Macaca fascicularis: one gene and its partner. The protein of the gene in region 2 purifies or fractionates together with the protein of the main gene of each other region. This does not show direct contact. Links are inferred from orthologs where the notes say so. Each region holds a gene or a part of one and is shown on either strand. Other genes may lie near its edges.

What was found. Proteins that work in one complex are often made in the same cells at the same time.
Region 1: the proteins of BUD23 (region 2) and TRMT112 purify together in Homo sapiens (affinity purification with mass spectrometry; 5 studies listed by BioGRID and IntAct, counting the BioPlex papers as one, with this or other methods). This does not show direct contact. The link is inferred for Macaca fascicularis from reciprocal best matches to the Homo sapiens genes BUD23 and TRMT112.

The regions. Positions count from the first base shown.
Region 1 is NC_088388.1:10,077,411-10,080,110, forward strand, and holds TRMT112 (multifunctional methyltransferase subunit TRM112-like protein), read left to right. Parts: upstream 1-1,332; 5' UTR 1,333-1,370; coding exon 1,371-1,448; intron 1,449-1,527; coding exon 1,528-1,629; intron 1,630-1,744; coding exon 1,745-1,834; intron 1,835-1,923; coding exon 1,924-2,031; 3' UTR 2,032-2,200; downstream 2,201-2,700. Other genes in the region: PRDX5 (peroxiredoxin-5, mitochondrial), read right to left, coding at 498-671. UniProt on the Homo sapiens protein: Acts as an activator of both rRNA/tRNA and protein methyltransferases. Together with methyltransferase BUD23, methylates the N(7) position of a guanine in 18S rRNA.
Region 2 is NC_088377.1:52,562,753-52,566,252, forward strand, and holds part of BUD23 (18S rRNA (guanine-N(7))-methyltransferase), read left to right. Parts: intron 1-410; coding exon 411-507; intron 508-2,457; coding exon 2,458-2,508; intron 2,509-3,179; coding exon 3,180-3,265; intron 3,266-3,469; coding exon 3,470-3,500.

The sequences.
Region 1 (2,700 bases), on a different chromosome or scaffold from region 2:
GCTCACACCTGTAATCCTAGCACTTCGGGAGGCCGAGGCGGGCGGTTCACCTGAGGTCAGGAGTTCCAGACCAGTCTGAACAACAGGGTGAAACCCCGTCCGTCTCTACTAAAAATACAGTAGCCGGCCGTGGTGGCTCCCACCTGTAGTCCCACCTACTCAGGAGGCTGAGGCAGTAGAATCGCTTCAACCCGGGAGGCGGAGATTGCAGTAAGCAGAGATTGCGACACTGCACTCCAGCCTGGGCGACACAGAGGGACTCCATCTCAAAAAAAAAAAAAAAAAAGAAACAATGCCTCGGAACTGCCCCGGGAGGTGAGGTCCCCACGATTGGCGAGAAGGGTGGGCAGCCACGAGGGCCTTCTGAAGGGATGAGCGGGGCGGCCGGCGGGGAGGGGTCTGGCAGGCAGGAAATAAGGCGATATTCCCAGACCAGCGCGACGGGGGTTGGCATGGGGGTAGTGGGGGATGTCAGGCCCGGCCGGGCCAGCGGTCACCTTGATCGGGGCCATGGCTGCAGCGGTTCTGCTGAAACTGCGGACCCCGCCAGACGCCCACCCTCCTTCACTTCGCCGTCTTGCTGCTGCTGTCGCTGCCACAGACTGACCGGCGGCCCCACCGAGTATATAGCCCGCTGAGCGTCTCAGGACGCACACGCCGGCTAGTCCCATACCCGCCCTAAGACCACTTTCACTCCGCCCCCTAGCTGGGGCCACCGCAGCAGGCGGGGCACGGCTGGAGGCACTGCTGCGACACCCTGCGGAAGGCGGGCCTGGGCCGCCTCCACTGCGCAGGCGCGAGCGGCCACGCGTGTAACAGAGCTTCCGGGACCCTCGCCTCATTTGCCTTGGGGGCTAGCTGGACAGCAGACGCAATTACAAATTGGGCAGAGCTTTCGGCATTGGGGCAGCTAATTTGCATATAAGAATGAGGTGCCGCTCGGCTTCCACGGGTCTAATTTACAGATAGGGCAGTATTTCTGCCCCTTAGCCGAAAGCGGGGTACAGAAGACGACGGTGTTAGGCGCCTGTGTAGGAGTAAAACATGTTTATTTTGCATTCAACGAGAGCCCCTGCATTGCAGCTATTTTGCATATGATTTGCATGATACGACGGATTTGTGCAAAAAAAAAAAAAAAGCTGGGCGTGCGCTGTAGGAACCTCCTGCTGAGACGCTTCCGGTAGTGGCGCGTGACCCGACAGGTCTTTCACTTACCTAGCTCAGCTCCCGCAAGCACGAGAATTTCCAGTAAGTTCGCCACTTCCGGTTCTCCTGGCCAACCAATAGCATCGAGTGGAGCATCCCCGGAAGTGACGAAGCGGAGGACGCCCTCTTTCCGGTTCCGGCCTGACGAGAGCCTGTTCGGCGATATGAAACTGCTCACCCACAATCTGCTGAGCTCGCATGTGCGGGGGGTGGGGTCCCGTGGCTTCCCCCTGCGCCTCCAGGTACCACGGCGGGCTTCCCTTTTCGGGTGGGATGGTGGGCCAGGGTCCAGTGCTTGCCTAAACTCCTCCGCCCTGCCAGGCCACTGAGGTCCGTATCTGCCCTGTGGAGTTCAACCCCAACTTCGTGGCGCGTATGATACCTAAGGTGGAGTGGGCGGCGTTCCTGGAAGCGGCCGATAATGTGAGGATCCTTACCCCGCCCGAGCATATCCCGGGGAGTGCGGGGCGGGCACACCTCAGCCGGGCTGAGGCGGGAGTTCGGGATGCCCGGAGATAATTTCGCCTCTTGCCCACAGTTGCGCCTGATCCAGGTGCCTAAAGGGCCGGTTGAGGGATATGAGGAGAATGAAGAGTTTCTGAGGACTATGCACCATCTGCTGCTGGAGGTGAGAAGCGGCCCATCACTTGCTTCCTGGGCCACCTGCCTCCCTCACTGAGGCCGCCAGTGCTCAGCTCTGTCCCTCCCCGCCCGCAGGTGGAAGTGATAGAGGGCACCCTGCAGTGCCCGGAGTCTGGACGTATGTTCCCCATCAGCCGCGGGATCCCCAACATGCTGCTGAGTGAAGAGGAAACTGAGAGTTGATTGTGCCAGGCGCCAGTTTTTCTTGTTATGACTAATGTTTTTGTTGATGTATACCGTTTCCAAATTCTGCCGTGTATATCCCCAACCCTTGACCCAATGACACCAAACACACAGTGTTCTTGAGCTCGACATTATATATTTTTTTCTCATTAAAGGTTCAAAACCAAAAGCGGTTTCTCTTTGCAGCAAATATACATTAAAATAGAGTCTCTGTACAGCCAAGGGCTCTGGGCCCTGGCTTGCCCCATGTCCCTGCGCCTCCCTGGCCAAACCCAAAAATAAATATAGTGTTATTGCTCTGCAGGGCATAGAGGCAGTGCTCTCCTACCCCCTGAGGAGGCTGGATGGGAGCTGATGGGGAAGCTCTGGCCACCCCAGGGGTCCAGGGGCTGGAGCCTGCTTGGAGTTATTGCTTCAAGGGGGGGCACTAATGCCCAATGCAAATGATGAGAGGAGGAGCGAAGGGGTATGGGCCTTTGCTCTCCAAGTCCCACTCTGCTCTGAAGAGGGGGTAGGATTAAGCAGCAGCAAAAGCATCACCCACTGGGAGACTGTGGCCTCCATCCCCTTCCCTCCCTGAGATAGGCTTCTGCCTCCCACACATCCCCTGCAGCCCCCTATGGCTTCCGCAAGGCCCCCTACACTCTGGGGGCACGTTATGGCTTGCAA
Region 2 (3,500 bases):
AGGTTGAGGAAAGGTTTCTGGGACTGACTGAGGGACATGAATGCTGTCCTTCTGTATGTCCTATTTTCCCAGTGTTGTAGAATCATGACCTGCAGTGGACCTGCACTTTTTTCTTTGTCTTTAAATTTTTAAACTTTAAAATACTTTTGAGTAGAGATGGGGTCTTGCTATGTTGTCCAGGCTGGTTTTGAACTCCTGGCCTCAGGCAATTTTGTCTTGGCCTCAGAAAATGCTGGGATTACAGGGCGTGAGCCACTGTACGTGGCCTGAACCTGCACTTTCTAAGAAGGGAAGCTGTGGGAGGAGGGGTTTCTCTTGGAGATCCAAGACGGATGATGTCGAGAAGCTTGAAGCGGTGAGGGGAGCAATGTGGATTGCTCCCTTGCCTGACTAGGTCCGTTCCTTTTTAGCATTTCTGCTGTGCAGTGGCTGTGTAATGCTAACAAGAAGTCTGAAAACCCTGCCAAGCGCCTGTACTGCTTTTTTGCTTCTCTTTTTTCTGTTCTCGTGAGTATAAGATCTTCTCCCCATCTGGGTTAGCTGCCTGTCCCTCCGTAGCCCTGCAGGTAGAGTGAGGAAATTGAGGTGTCCCATGATGGGAACGCTACTCATATGGGACCGCAGGACCTTACTGTGGTTGCTTCTGTCCAGGTTCTCAGCCTAAAGAAGTTCAAGCTCAGTGGACTGATATACGCTAATCAAACCCAGAAGTCACTGATGGCAAAATCGGAGACCAATTTAGTAACTTGTAATAGGGCCTACTTCTGTTGATTGGTATTCCTATGTCTATTACTCTGAGTTTTAATGAGAAGTTGGTTTGGGGATCAGAAGTTGGTTTGGGGGCATGGACTGAGCAGAGTGAGGACAAGAGCTGTCGTGTTGAGACCATCCAGAGGGGTACCTTCCAAAGTGCCCACATGCTTCTGACTCCTCACTTCTCCCTCCACCTGATTCTGATCCTTTTCCTCGGATGGGGAACAGGATAGTTATTTACCGCAGAGAGAGCCTCTATTAGCTTTATCTTGCCTTTTTAACTAATGATGTTAATTTCAGTTGTTCACTAGGATTAGATGATAGTCTGAGATTTTAGGTCCTAAAAATGAGTTCTTTTTAAATCTTACTTGTTTTTTGAGACAGACTTTTGCTCTGTTGCCTGGGATGGAGTGCAGTGGTATGATGGTAGCTCAGTGCGCCCTCGAAATCTTGGTCTCAGCTTCTCAAGTAGCTTGGGCTACAGGCACACACCACCATGCCAGGCTAATTTTTTACTTTCTTTTTTTTTAGAGATGGTGTCTAGCTATGTTGCCCAGGCTGGTGTTAAACTCCTGGCTTCAAGCAATCCTCCTGCATCAGCCTCCCAAAGTGATGGAATTATAGGTGTAAGCCACTGTGCCAGCTTAAAAATGAGTCCGTTTTGAAGGATCTGAGTGGTTTTTGCCTCCTTAGCCTGGTCCAGCCCACCCCTAGTTTTCCTGGGGTGGACTGCTCCTGCCGACGGCTGGCCGCTGGTCTTTCATGGAATGGACTCCTCCTGCTGATCTGGCCGCTGGTCTTTCATGGAGTGAACTCCTCCTGCCGATCTGGCCACTGGTCTTGCGTGGGGTGGACTGCCCCTGCCGATCTGGCCACTGGTCTTGTGTGGGGTGGACTGCCCCTGCCGATCTGGCCGCTGGTCTTTCATGGAGTGGACTCCTCCTGCCGATCTGGCCGCTGGTCTTTCATGGAGTGAACTCCTCCTGCCGATCTGGCCACTGGTCTTGCGTGGGGTGGACTGCCCCTGCCGATCTGGCCACTGGTCTTGCGTGGGGTGGACTGCCCCTGCCGTTCTGGCCGCTGGTCTTTCATGGAGTGGACTCCTCCTGCCGATCTGGCCGCTGGTCTTGTGTGGGGTGGACTGCCCCTGCCGCTCTGGCCGCTGGTCTTTCATGGAGTGGACTCCTCCTGCCGATCTGGCCGCTGGTCTTGCGTGGGGTGGACTGCCCCTGCCGATCTGGTCACTGGTCTTGTGTGTCATGAGAGTTTTCCTCCTGGCGTACTGGCTTAATTTTGTAGTTCCGAGGGCCTTTATGTTTCCTCTTCTCCCTGCTGGAAGGCTCTTCCCCTCTACGTTTAAACAGCCAGCTCCTCACTCCATTCAAATCTCTGCTCAAGTGTCCATCTGAAACAGACCTTTTGGAACCGAAAGTAAACTGAACCGAAAGGAAACTGTCACTTTGTCCAATTCCTCTTTTTGGAACAAAGGAAAAATTGCTACTGTGAATGAGTTGCCTCCCCTACTAAAATGTGAGCTCCAAAGTTCAGGTTGATCTCTTGTTCATGACTATCCCCAGCCCTAACAGAGGTGCCTCATCCATAATGGAAACTCAGGAAATACTCGGTGAATGAAGGAAGGGAGGGTGTCCAGGCCCTAAGCTGATGTGGTCATTTGTAAGACAGTGATGTTCCTGTTTCTTTCAGGTCCGGGGATCCCGAGCTGTCCTGCAGCTATACCCTGAGAACTCAGAGCAGGTGAGTCCCTTGGCTACTGGGTGTGCAGGGGAGCGGGGAGACTCAACAGGTAAGCTGTCCTGGGGAAGCGACAAAGAACCTTATGCAGATTGGCGGGAAAAGGAGAAAACATGCACCCTAGTGTGGCCCCTGATGGCACATTTGATGACCTGATATCCTAAGGGGGTGGCATTTGCGGAGGTGGGGTGGTATGTCTTCCCTTGGCAGATGACATGGTATTATAGATAAGATGATACGACTAATTTCCATAACCAAATAAGTGAATGCCATTTAGGAAGGGGGAGAGGGCACCGACAGTTGTCTGTTGTGTGATGTATAATTAAGGAATGGCGGAGCAGGATGTAGATGTTGAAAGATAAGTGAAGAGCTGTCCCTGACTAATAACATGAATGAGTCTGGCTTCCAATTGTGGCCATCTCCTTCCTAAACTTGAGTGGAGAGCTGGGTCCCTGTGCTGGAAAGTGAGAATGAGGGGAGTAGCTTTGTTCCGTAATTCTCCTGAGCGAGGTGTGGGCCATGCCTGCACTTTTCTCTACCTGGCTTACAGCGACCTTAAGTTCTCCCAGGCAGGATTCGTCCTGAGGCAGACTGGTTTCTGAAGGAGGGGAGGGAGGTAAAGCTGTCTGCTCCTCTCGCCTCCGCTGCATGACCCACTGCCTTTCTTTCTTCAGTTGGAGCTGATCACAACCCAGGCCACAAAGGCGGGCTTCTCCGGTGGCATGGTGGTGGACTACCCTAACAGTGCCAAAGCAAAGAAGTGAGCGCTGGGGGCTGGTGTGCTGCCTGGGCTGCAGGAGGGAGGGTAGTGGCATAGCCCTTTCAGGCCACTCAGTGGTACAGAGGAGTGTTGGGGTGTGGGTCACCAGGGTCCAGGCAGGCGGGGTGGGGAGACGGGCTGGTGAGAACTTGTCTCCCTATGGGGTTTCTCCACCAGTTCTCACGTTACACTTTCTCCTTTCAGATTCTACCTCTGCTTGTTTTCTGGGCCTTCG